2 linked regions of the Lepisosteus oculatus genome follow. The protein of the gene in region 2 interacts with the protein of the main gene of each other region in a pairwise test. Links are inferred from orthologs where the notes say so. Each region holds a gene or a part of one and is shown on either strand. Other genes may lie near its edges.

Region 1 (7,191 bases), on a different chromosome or scaffold from region 2:
TATTATATTTAACTGCATTTTGTATTGTCCTGAACCTACCCCATGTACTACAATGTAAACCTGCTATGGGAGCACAACATTAGTCAAACCAAGTCAGTAATTACTGTTAAGTCCCAATACTATTGACTACCTTGCAAAACCTGCTACCATATCTGATCAAAGTTATTCACACAATTTCATGGACAACCTTTACAAAGCAATTCATTTCTGAAAGGTAACCGATTACTGAAGAAATTCTCATTTAAGCAGTGATATATTAAGTTTTTTGATCCAATGAAATGAAAAGGGTTAATTGCTGAACAGTTAATTGCTCTAACTCTATCCTCTAGCTGTAAATCTTATGTTTATACAGGAAAAATGATTTTGATTCTGTGACCACCCACTAAATTTAAATAATCCAGTGATTTAAAAATGCATTTAAGTCACTTGAGCTTTGATTTCAGATCAACATTATTTCCTGATTCTTCTTCTTCCATGAAGTATGTACTGTACATCAACATTATTCCCATTAGTCAAAACTATTATTTTGTGATATTGTCAAAAACACATATTGTCAAAAAAAGCATATTAAATAAATTGTGCATTTACAAAAGTGTACACTTTCAATTAAATTACATACTGTATAATATTGACACTACACACAAGACAAAGAACCTTTACAAATATCTGTCATAAGCAAGGAAAATATAATAAATTAAAATGAATGCAAACTAACATGCATATAGTATCCAGAAAAACCTACTACTTTTATTAGCTTACTTTTGAGAAATTCCTTGAGAGTACACACAAGGAAAAATGTATATCTTGTATTTGAACACGTTAATTTCCATACAGGCTGTTAAAGCTCATGTTTTGAATGTCTCATTAATATGAAATTAATAGACATGTATCACTCCAAATTTTATACTTTTCAATACTAAAATAACTGCCCATTCAGTAAATGTTCATCATTTTACAATGTAGTCAGAATATCAAGTATTATTATTTATTATTTCATGTCTAAAATGTCCAAATTTATATCAAAACTTTATTCACTTCCTAATTGCAAGTTTTCCACTGTTCTTCATAAAAAGTTTCCAGAAACAAAGCCTAATGAAGCAACCAAAATACCTAGATTGGATCTGCAAATTTTTACTTAAATATGTTTAAGGTAAAACTATAGATTAATACAATTTTAAAAGACTGAATTTCTGAAAGCATGAAACTTCACAATATTTTAATTAACATGTAAACAGACCTGCATTCTGAACAGTTAGGAAAATGGAAGGAGAAATGACACAATCCAACATCACAACAAATACTAATAGTATTCATTCATTTGCTTTGTGATTTTTTTTAAATCTAAACACCTGGTTGTACTGTATGTTGTATAATAATTTTATGGATTGCAAAAGAATTTCAAGCATTTAGCATTTATGCATTTTAAATTACTGAATTATGGTACAGCCCCATAATAACAGTACAGTCCTGCTTTGAACCAGCATGTGTGCATGCAACATTTAAATATTAAATACTTTAAATAATAATTGTGTCAATTGTCCATTAACTAAGGTATTAAGTGCGTTAAGATATTTGCTGCTATATGTCTAAATTTAGAAATGTCTGAGTTAAAAAGACAGAAAGCTGACTTCAGATTATTAGTGTAATATGTCTATTAAAGGATCCATTAAAGAATAAGAAATATTAAGAAATGCTAAGAAAGATTATACAGTAGGATAACTGTAAGGATTTGTAAGGATAACTTAACACTAGTACCAAACCACAAACTGTCTGAATTCTCATTTCTGTTTGAGTTCTAAATGCTTACAGCTAAGCTTAGTGTAAGCATAAAAATGGGACAGAATTTGACCCCTAAGGGACCTATAATAGTACATTTGTTACAGGTAATATGTCATTCTCTTTGAAGACATATGTTTCTTTACAATATTTGCTTCATAAAATCCAAACAACTGTTACTTTCAAAAGTCAACAATTCAAGCAGCTTGTAAACTGTCCCTTTTTTACAGTGTTTTTCTAGCATAGTCTTCAAATTGTTAAAGAAAAATAGCACATTTTATAAAACTCTTCAGTTTAGGATGAGAGATTATTTTTATAAGATGCTATTAATGAATTTTCCATTACATAAAATGAGAGTACAATACAGTATATAGGGTTTTCTTAAATTTAAAGAAGATGATAATATTGATTGTGCTTGTTCACAAAAACATAACACATTCAATCTCTAAATGTGCGTGGCACCTGCAAAGTATGTTTTACAGAACACTTCAATATTTCGTGTCTTTCTGTAACTACCACTTTTGTATTTACTTGGAAATTCAGATCCTCATTTCTGTTTTGCAGAGTGGACAACTTATTTTACTTAGAAATTATGGTTATGATTCCAGTTACATTTCAGTGACTCTAATGAAGTGCATGCAAGAAGCAGATCAGATAAGCTTCTTTTATTTATTCCTCTTTTCCAAAACAATGATGCTTACTGTATAGTATTACACTATAATGGAAATTCTAAGCACTGGTTCGCTGCAAATATACTGTACTTCAGAGTTTGCATATATGTTAGGTTCCGTATTCATTGGATATTAGAAAGGTTTAAACTTTTTACTGATGATAAAAAACAAAAAAAGAAAAGTTGTCAACAAAATAGAGATACGTGCTTACAAATATATACAAACAATATCACAACTACTTACCTGAATGTGACATGTCGAAAAGACATAAAACATTCCTGGACTCCGAGCTGCTCAGCGGTTCAGCCTCCCTGTATTAACTGAGCGCTTCAGTGACCTTCTATAGCTTCGCCCCTACATGCAGTCCTGCCATGTTTCAGAAATGTATTTGCTTTTATATCTATGCAAATGTGTAAATTGGATGTAAAGTTGTTCACATCTGGCGGTCTCGATGCAGTCAATAAAAGTTTACAAGTTTCATCTCACAAGTCGACTCTTCCCCTCCATCGCTCCGCAGAGAATAACAGTATCAACCAGTCACTTTTTCAGTTTCCTGATCTTACTGTGACCAAGCGTCACTTCCTAAAACTGTCATTAACTCCGAAGCTGAAGTGTTTGCACAATTGATTGTTTGACCTGTAGAGAAAAGCAAAGAAAGCACAACCTTGGTAACTAACGCAACATTCCAGAAATCAGGTGACTTATTGCGCTTATGTATTCTTAGCGCCGAATTAAAAAGCCATTTTAACAACTTTAATACACCTGTAAAGTCATTCCATATGTGGTTACGTACGCATCGACATCAGAAAACAAACATGTCTGCCGCAAATATTTCTTATTTCGATGTTTTAAGTAGAATGAAAATAATTGTGAAATAGTATTCACTGGGTCTGCCATTAACGCGGTCGCTTGAACTCAACTACCCAATATGACTCAAACAGCATGGACACAGTAAGGTACAGTACATGAATGCAATTTGATGAAAGACCTACTGTACAATTAGGGTTTCTACAAGAAGGACAACAAAAACTTTCATTAATTTAAAATGAGAAATTGTTTAAATATGAAAGAATACCATTACTTAACTATTACCATGCCATATTCCCTGGAGCTTTTAGAACAGATAAAAGTGTTTCTAGGGTTCTGTAAGGTTAAGAAATAAGTTCTAGAGGCTTTGGTACACGACCTTGTCAACAATTATCGATTTATAAGTGTAAAGACACTGGTGATTAATAATAATTCACTTCCTAATGTGACATCTTTGAAAGTTTACATTTAAACTGCTTCTTCGCACCCGACGCGTAAAGTAGGACTAACAACAGAGCAGTCATGAGAACTTAAAAAACATTAACATGTACTACTGTACCTAACATCCTCGTGTTATCTAGAGGCATATAAAAAAACTTTGCAGAACTGAAGGAAATGTAACTGACACAGTTGTCACTGGACTTATATTCAGTGGAAACAAGACATTCAGATTAAATGGTCTGGGGAGATAGTCCTATACAGTACAGTAATTACAGAGCCAAAGCATCACAGGTTCTAACAAAACATCACGACTTCAAGATTCATTGGATAATACGTTTGCTGTTTTTTAACTAAATGTAAGGATAACACTTAATCATAATAATTTATCAGGGATAACATACATTTGCTTTTGAGCGTACCAAATGAAATGAAAACATTCAGAGCATATGCAGCCGTTCAAGTACTGTATATAATCATTGCAATGCCAAGCTCGATCAAACTGTAAAAAACAGCAACTTTTCAATTTCTTTAATGCGGAAGAGGCGAGTTTAACCTTTCGGATTTTTGAGTTTTTTTTCCATTCTTAATGTTTTGGTTCCCCGTTTCTGAGTTTCCGAACGTAAATTAGATAAAATAAAACAATTCGTGTTCTGCAAAATGCTGAGTTTCTCAAGTTTATATTTGCTGTTATATTCTTCTGAAGCATTTTTAATACGTCAGACAAGACGCTTTAGAATAAGAAGAACGGTCAGGACAAAACATCGGAGTACATTTTTTTAAAACTATTTGCAGAAAACATCATTTTAACGCACTGAAACACAACCACGTGCTGATTTTGACGCTCGCGGATAAGCTTTACCGGAGCTGAAAATTGTGCTGTTATTCTAAATATTAGTATAATCAATTGTTATTGCTAAAAGAAAACGCTTGTGGTGATTCGCTATAACAAGAGATTCAGGTCAACAGTATGCATTAATTTTTAGGTTCACAAAAGAGAAATAAAAGTACCTTTGTATCAGGTGTTTCCTGTTATGATAGGAGACATATGAGGAAGTTTCAAGGACTTGTTCAACCTGTTTTGTTATAGAGTGTGGTGTATTATACAGTATGTGCTGATTCTTTTACCACAAATGCTTTGTAGGTATCAATATTTAGGTTTGTTATTAAAATTGTGTCCAACCATATTATCATAATCATAGAAGTACTTTTATGAAGTACAATGAAATGGCAGTAGGTGTGTTCTAAAGTTGGACATAGGCCTGGTTTTAGCATCGCATTGCCAGAACACATAATTGATGAAGGTGATTGTTCTTACAGTCAATCAGAATCATCATACATTGTAGGACCACTGAAAAACTTTTTTTAAAAATAAGCATTTTAATTTTATGCAACATGGTAAAATGCTTATTAAAGTTAAACAATAAAGATTTAACAGAAGTGATTGAGAGGATATTGTATTGTAAAATATTTGTAACTTTTCATCTATCTATTTTCTTCCCACTTCTTTCAAAGCTCAACAAGCAACAGGCACACACATAGACACAGACATGCACACAATTGGGCTCACAGTAGGGCCAGTATTCCCAGAGACCAATTAACCAGTATGTTTTTGACTGTGGGGGGAAACCGAAGCACCTGGAGGAAACCTACACAAACACAGGGAGAACATACAAACACACAGATAGCACACAAGGTCCAGATTGAAGCGAGGGCCCCAGCACTGTGTGGCTATCAGCAATGATAACCACTGTACCACCTGTTTTTAACTTGACAATACTTGTCAATACATTGAATACTAAAATTCAATAACATACCACCAGAGTATTTCCTTTGCTTCATATGATGAGCTCATGTTCTACAAATTAAATATATATATATATCCATTAATGGAAGTATGTGAGTTGTGTACAGGCACATGTAACACAAAACACATAAATAACAATGGTGATTTTTGTTGATGGAAAAAATGGATTTGATTGGACCAATTTTAATACATTTGAGGAATTAAATGCAAATGTCCAATATCAATGGCTTTTGTTTATTTGCTTATTAAAAAAAATCAATTTACCTGTGGAGTATTAATATATAGCAATATGTAATGAAGGCAATACAATATAATCAACATTTTTGTATTAATTTTGCAGCCAGTAAAGCATTTTAACACAATTAAAAAAACAGTCCTCTACTTTTTCATGTGATCTAAACCTATTTACTCATGAAAAATAATGAAGCAAAGAACTGAAACACAAAACATAAAAATGTTATATCAGTTTAGGTACAAGATTTTAAGCTTGATTTTTAAGGTTGATTTGAAGACTTATTTTTGTCCGTGTTGTTTCATACTCAATAATTGTTAGAAAGAAAATATAGAAAGATGTATGAAACACTTGTCCAAGACCCATGATTACAAATGCTCTTCTGTAATTCTTGAGATTTAAGAAGATGGTAGTGTGTAATTAGAGCAGCACAGTCTCCTTTTGATTTTGTTAACTTGTGATCTATTAAATGTTTTTAACCGTTTCTAAAGATAGAAGCACCTGCTATTTTCTGATGTTGTGATAAAAGATATTGGCACTTCCCTTGCATTTTTAATATATTTATTACTATACTTAACATAGTGCCAAAAGGTTGTTTTACAAAACTTATCTGATTGTGGTTAAACTTTGTAGCATCTTTTTAACGCTTCTCAAATCGGGGTCAGGTTTAAGTAATTTCTTTTACACCACTCAGATAAAACCTAAAAGTGGGTTACCGGAATTCTGCAGCTGTAAAACTACATCATTTAAAAAAGATGCAGAAATATATTCCTAAAGATAAACATGGAGTAAAAACATCTGAATCCATGCAAACAAAAGGATACCATTTGGCACAGTAAGCTTCTTTGGTTTGCAATAGCTAATTGAGCTGTTGATTTTATCTGTTCAGTGAAAGAACTAGTTGGATAAAATAAAGATAGCAAAGGTTTAGACAACATAGTTGGGTAACTTTTTCCAGGCACCGACAACCACTTCTGTAAAAACTGTCTCCTATTCTCAATTTTAAATGCAGTTCCCCCTAGTTTACATTTTGTGTCCTCTGGTGTACATTTCACTGTTCATACTTTAGAAGTTTGTTGGGTTGACGGTCTCACTGCCTTTGAGGATTTTGAATACTTGAACCATGTTCCATTGTAATATTCTCTGTTTGAAACAAAATTATTTTTTGTCATTTTAGCCTGTCAGAGTATAACATGTGGTAATGTACTGTACCTGAATGCTCTTCTGTGTTTTGATGCTAGAGTAGCTAAATGGAATGACGAATTCTACATGATCTCTTACTTGTACAGTTTTCATTTATACTTACAACAAAATAGATGTTATGGTTTTTACTATATGCTTGTAACACTCTGCACTAGTCTACATTAAATGTAATCTGCTAAATGTTTGCATAGTCTTGAATTCTTTCTAAATATTTTTGAATTTTTTTTACAGCTTATATTGCTGGCTAATCCTTCTAT
Region 2 (7,058 bases):
CTTTTGCATCTAAAAGGGAAGGTTAAGGTGGCAGATACACTTAAGTTATCACATTCAGAACATAAGTTGCTCAAGGAATGTGGAGTCTAGAAATCTCTGAAACACAGAATACATAACTAATAATTCTGCCAGTTTGCAACTAAAGATTTATACATTCATTCCCAAGTGGAATACAGGGTGCACAGCAAAGATATTAGGAATGTTTACAGTCATCGACTGGTTAAAGCACAAGCATACTGCTAAACTCTGAAAACACTAGTTCATTGCATAGCCCTCTACACTGTACAAGAACCAGACTCAAGTACTTTAACAGCACTCTGTGGCTATTTCCAGTCATAAAAAAATCAAATAAAGCTGATCACTGCAGTATGAAATCACCATGGCTTACAGTTTAAGAGATGTTTGTCCAAAGCTATTGTTTTATTTATTTTCAAAAATAAAGTAAATGAATTAAAAAACAGACCTTTATAAATTACACAGGGTGGAGTGGGATGCACAAGACGTGGCATGCTCTGAAGGGAAAAGGCATCAAAAGACAGCAGTGTCCAATTATGCACTGGTAACAAAGCAACATTGAAAGGCCATTCAAATGTTAGCCACAACCAAAACATACAAGAATGTAAAGCTGTGTGGATCACTCCTAAGAAGGGGTCAAACACTACTCTTCCTAACCTGTTTGCTGTAAATATACTGAAGGCCAAAGTCTTGAGTCGAAAGAATCCACTACTCTTCAGGACAGAAAACAACTGAGGGAATAATTATGAGGAAAGGCTGCCTATTCACAAGGAAGATAGGGGGGGGAAAAACAAAGACCTTCATCTACAGCAGAAAGAAAAACTGTCAAGACTATTGTACCCATTGTCCATGTGCCTACAATTCCAAGCCCAAGCACTGACAATGGCACTTGACTATGTCAATACGTATAAGGAATCACAGAGGTGTTGCTATCCTGTGTGCATTCTGTAAGCCCATTTATTGTTACACTTAAAGAATTGCCTACCATCACCATGTATGACAGCTTTATGAATGAAAAACGAGACATGACAACATGAAATGTACCTTATGACTTCTTCATGCTATAGCTAGCACATCTTGAGAGATCTTACCTGTTCCACTTACTTGGCCCTTGTGTCTGATATCACACTTAAGTTTGGCTTTACTAGCATAGCTGTTTTTGTCATTGAATTTTTTTGTTGATAGAAAGCGATCATCACGGAAGAGAGTATAACAGAATTGTAATAGTTTCCCTGCATGTCTGCAAATGTCTAACGAGGCAAAACAAATGTTGAAATGGGCAAAGAAAAGTTTGTAGGTGATACCAATTAATCAAGATGTGCCTGAACAGGCTAAAGAATACAAAAACAAATTAGTTCAGAAAGTCTGGTATCTATTATTACAAAACTAAAAGAGATAAGCGAGTGCTTTCATTTCTGACACTATTAATACATCAATGTCAGCATTTCATATTTTCCCAAATGACTTATTTGAATGTTGAAAAGAAAGCCCTACTATTTTTACCTATAGTGGTTTATCAAGTTTCATTCTACAGTATGTGCCTATGAAGACTCATCCAAGTAATGTTATAAGCAGAGAATACAAGGTGACTTCATTTCTATGGGGCTGTTACCTTAAAGAACCTAAAGAGCAATTTTCCATCTACATGTAAAACTGAAGATGAGAATTAGACATAGCAACTCAGTTTTTGAAAAGAGCCTACAATTTTAATTTTAATGCTCAAAAAAGAAAAAGCCATTATTATTCAGCCTTTCTCTGACAGAATACCATATCAATTTAAACTAAAACAGCAATAAAATCTTCACAAGATTAAAATTAGTAGCTCATATAGATATTGGTGTGACATACAATACTTTAGGCTATATAAGAGTGTTGTTAGTATTATAAATATGGAATAGAGTGTCATACCTGTACTTAAATCAGGGTGTGTTTTAATATTTATCTAATTCAGCAAGGATAGGGCTGATATCAATAACAAAAAAGACACTAAAGTTTTTTTCTCTTCCAAAATGTACCCATACCAATATGTTTATTAAACATTTCTGGCAGAGCTATGCTTTGACAATAAATTCATCACTATTAACCGTTTTCGATTCTACATTAATGACTATGCACACCCCATTACCATTACTGTGGATAACGTGTGGTTGTTGTGGCTGTCAGCAGTCACTGAGCAAAAAAATGATATCGATAAAAAATTGCGATTTGGGCATGATGCTTATTATGGGACAAAGAACTTAATGTCGTTTCTATTTTTCCTGTGGAAGTTGGAAGACTATACAGCAAACAGCAACGTCAATGCACACTGAAGCGATACCGTGAAGACAATGGACACATGCAAGATATCTAAACCACTACAAGACGCAATAACACGTTTAAAGTTACAGCCCCCTTATCGTCAAACCGGCAGCTATCTGCCATGAATTATTCGTGCGTTTTTCCACAGAGAGAACGCTGGCAGGCAAGAGCCCCTCGAAGGCGGAATCTTTACAAGCGGCTCCGAAACGCCATCATCACCATCCTATTGAATCCCGTCTATTGTACTGCTGTAGAGTCTCAGCCACAAATAACAAAGCCACTGAGCTTAACGCGGAGCTCAACACTAAAACCATCTAAAAGCACAAGCACCTAATGATGGGAATTTTACTTCAGAGGTCTTCCAGACCCCTTTGCCCAGGGAATGTATTTGCTTTTATTAAAACACGGCTTGATATCCATCTGCTCAGGACGATTTGTGAATGAACCGAAAACACACCAACGCCAATTACAGTACCCCCCCACCACCACCTCCAGAAGCTGCCACACCAACTTTATACTCAGTTCCTTAATTTTCTTTCCCTCTTACCTTGGTGTAGCTCCGGTCGGATCGGGCGGGGAGGCAGGTATGCAAATAACCCCTGTGCAGTTCAGAACGTTTATATAAAATACTTGACAGAGGGGAAGAAAAATCCAGTTTTATTCCAGGTCCTTTCTTTACAGGCCCTGCAACTCCACTCTCGTTCTCTCTCTCTCCCCCTACCTTTAGCTCAGCCCACTGTCTTGCTCAATGACGTCAGCCCTGCCATAGGACTGAGAAAGCTGGAGCACCGAAGCAACTGCGCTGGGAAGCCGCTCTGGACAGAGACGGGCTGTCTCTCTTACATCGCCAGTGCTCGCTGCTGCCAATTGCTGTGTTAACTACATTATATGTCCGGACGAGTACGCAGACTTTAGTGTCAGCTTAGCTAGCACTTCTTAAGAATAGATGGGCACACGGCAGGAACGATCATATTAATTAAATGAAAAACTAAAAAGAGGACACCAACTGAGACATACAATTCGTTGAGTAAACTAGCTGGCTTTATGCTGAAACTGAAATGCTCTTTTAAGGCTTTTAAGACGAAACATTGAAAATAATGATACAGCAAATATTGCGCATTCAAATACCGTCACTCACGGTATTTACCATACGTTATGTATTTTTTCAAGAGAAAGTGTTTTGAAATGTTTGAAATACAGTGATGAAAATTGTCAAGCGGAAATAAAACCTCGGATACCTCTTATGCATAGATCAAATGGCTATAGTTGTTCCCCGTTTCCTTACAGGAACAAGACATTTCCTGATTATTAACTTGATTGCCTCTATTTTTAAAGGGTATGGGGGGCAGAAGCAGTGAGGCGCATACATGCTAATATAAAGTAATTTCCTACTAGACCCCTGGAAGTATGCAAAAATGTATATTAAATAATACTATATTGCAATTATATTAAATTATGTATATTTTAAGCAGAATTTGCATATATAATATTTTTAAATTATCTATTTGAAAATTATATAATAGAATAAAATACCTCTTTTCTAGATCCTGTTCTCTTTTAATCATTGTATAAAGTGCTTTCTGCACAGACTACAGCTTTCCTTTCTTGCTTTTGACTTTCTTTTGGGATGAATCTGCTCCGTATTTGTAACTTTGTGTTGCCATCCACTCTACTGAATCTATGTCATTTGTATCTACAGCAAAAACATTTCTTTAAATTTCAGGTTGACTCTTTCCTTTATGTTCAGTTTTTCCGAAATTGCCAATCTTTCTTTTGGGCTTAGCAGAATTTCTAAATATACTTCAAAACGTACATATTATGATCACATTTCTGTGATGGTTTTCCTCACTCTGTTTCGATTGTTTGAAAACACTAGATCAATACAGGCATCACCTTGGGCTTCTGATAATCTGAGTATGGAATCATTCATTACCCATTTCTACCATTGCAGTTTCAGCTACTGACCTACCTGGTGGTTTGTCCAAATCTACACGGGGAAAGTTAATATCTCCCACAATAACAACTTCTTTTAAACATATTTTCCTGAATTAACTGCAAAAGACTGAATAGTTGTACATTCATATAAGTTGTATATGAATTTGGCAGTCAGGAGCATGTTCCTACCCACTCATGTTATATTCTTCATTACCACTCAGTCCGCTGTGCTGATTTTGAGCATCTTGAATACTTGTAGAAGTTCCCTCATATTCTTCTCTGTTTAAAACTAAAAATGTATTTCAATCTGTCAGTGTAGGATATTGCTTATTCCTTTATGTCCTGGAATGCACCTCTATTGCTCTTCTCTTGAATGATTCCAGATTGTGACCACAATTGTACATAACATTGTACAAAAAAGACCACAGTAGTGCATTGTACAATTTTAATGTGACATCCCTTGACTTGAATTCTGTACTTTTGACTATACAATCTAAAATTTTGTTTGCCTTTTTATTATTTACCAGCACTTTCTGGAAGATGTAAACAATGTGTTGACAAAAACACCAAAGTCCTCTTCATAAGTAGCTTCGTCTAGCTCATTGGGTCCTATTGTTTTTACTTTTATACTAACTGCATGCAAAACCCTGCACTTCTGTACAGTAGATTAAATGCAATCTGCCAAGTGTTTTCCCAGTTTTGAATTAAAGCAAATTCTTTGGGAATTCCATTTGCTGATTCTACAGTGTTATTCTACTATGTACATTCTACAGTGTTAGCTAATCATTCTAATCTGATATTATCTGAAAGATAGTTTACGAATTATACCATAATCATTAATATAAATTAAGAATAGCTGTGGTCCTGGTAAATACTGTGGTACTCCACTAATTACATCGCCCCAATTTAATCATTTAGTTTTAATCATGTTTATTTGCTAATTATTAATCAGTTCTCAATCCAGTTGCATACATTTCCTTGCAGGACTTCAGCCTGTAATTTCAAATTAAATCTGTGATAAGTAACTTTATAGACAGCTTTCTGAAAATGTAAATACACCATATCTTATGCCCTGTATCTGTCAAAATTTCACTTAAAGGTCAATTGGTCAGTCATAGATAAACATATAGATATATAGGGAACATGTGCGTTCCTCTTAATTTTAATGGATCATTCTCTATGTCAGGCTGACAAAAAACAGGATTGCAGTTACAGCCGCCCAGCCACTATAGGCTGCTGGGCAGCCTCTAATCTTTGTAAATAGCTACACAGTGGGTGTTAATTAGGTAATTGATTAGATTTGTGTTAAAGATATTATGGTAAAGGTATTATAAAGGTAAATGTTATTATTTTAGTGGTAAAATAATATAAGAACATTTGTTTATGGCATGTTTATACTGTATATGAGTTTTATTAACCCTTTATTATATTGGATATTGCACTTGCCTGGAATGATTCAGCAGCAGTACTGTATATTTTTGTGACATTGTGACCACAATTGTATATCATATTCTAAATTAGGCCATAGTAATGTATTGTACAATTTTAACATGTCATCCCTTGATGTATAATATACACTGATTACGCATTGTATTTTTCACACCCTTTGTGGTTCTTTATTAAGTATGAAACTTATGGTCAGCTGAGCTGCTATGTCTTAATGTCACAACTTTACACAATTGAGGATACTCATTTATATATAAAAAATAGGTTATTAATAGTTATGTTTTCTATATGCTGAACTGCATTAACAATATTTGGGGTTTCACTGATCTTAAGATGAAAATGTTTTTTTTTCTATTCAAATTGATATTTTTAATTTTGTCTGCTTTTTAGTTTGAAACCATATTATATTGTATACAAATAAGGTTTCTCTGTAACTTTCTAATAAAAACATTCATGGTCAAATAAAAAAGCTCAAAAGCAATTGTGGAAGCTAGCAAGCTAATCACCAGCACTACTACCAGGTCAGCCATTGCAAAAGTTCCATCACTCACTGCAAGTGAAAATCATAAACTATAAAATCAGAAGGTAATTGTCTTTAGTATCCTTAAAAATGTTTAGTTACTTATGTAATTAATATATTAAATTGCCCCAGTAACAACAGATAGAGACCATTAAAATTGTCTTATTTCAAAACCTTAATTAATTGGTTCTCATTAAAATCAGTGAGCTCCCTCATATACTGCAGATTTAAAATGTTGTAGTAGAGTTGCAGTAGCATAGTGGAGCAGTGGTTAGCATTGCTGCCTCACATTGCTGGAGCCCTGGATTCAATTCCAGACCTGGTGTGCAGAGTTTGCATGTTCTCCCCATGTTTGCATGGGTTTCCTCTGGACCTCCAGTTTCCTTCCACAGTCCAAAAACATACCAATAGGTTAATTGACTTCTCTGAATATAAAACGTGGTGTGAGTGTGTATGTGTGTCCATGTTTGTGTTTGTGTCTCACAAAGAATGTCCATGGTACACCCCGCCTTGTACAGTTGGTTGTCAGGACAGGTTTCTGCTCCCCTGTGACCCTGAATGGGATTAAGTCATTAGAAAATGGATGGATTGTAGAATCCTGCAGTGTTAGCAGGATTGTCTATGCTAACACTGGGAGCACAGTAAAACTACAAAAACTGCAAAGAAATACTTGAAGAGCCTGCTGCATGCACGCATTACCTTTATAAACAAAGTTTGCATTCTCATTGCTGAAGAATAGGACCTGAATTGTATGATTCACTTGACAGATTGTTAAAAAAAACTCAAGGTCAAAATCCTGTACCTGAATCATCATTCTTTATTATTAGTATAGATTAGCATAATC

Evidence for each region.
Region 1: the proteins of cytoplasmic protein NCK2 (region 2) and pik3ap1 interact in binary tests that used the Homo sapiens proteins (3 or more experiments, as listed by UniProt). The two-hybrid records come from large-scale screens. The link is inferred for Lepisosteus oculatus from reciprocal best matches to the Homo sapiens genes NCK2 and PIK3AP1.

The regions. Positions count from the first base shown.
Region 1 is NC_090699.1:34,468,349-34,475,539, reverse strand, and holds the start of pik3ap1 (phosphoinositide 3-kinase adapter protein 1), read right to left. Parts: upstream 3,087-7,191; 5' UTR 2,724-3,086; coding exon 2,691-2,723; intron 1-2,690. UniProt on the Homo sapiens protein: Signaling adapter that contributes to B-cell development by linking B-cell receptor (BCR) signaling to the phosphoinositide 3-kinase (PI3K)-Akt signaling pathway.
Region 2 is NC_090710.1:24,272,256-24,279,313, reverse strand, and holds the start of cytoplasmic protein NCK2, read right to left. Parts: upstream 3,036-7,058; 5' UTR 2,861-3,035; intron 1-2,860. UniProt on the Homo sapiens protein: Adapter protein which associates with tyrosine-phosphorylated growth factor receptors or their cellular substrates. Maintains low levels of EIF2S1 phosphorylation by promoting its dephosphorylation by PP1.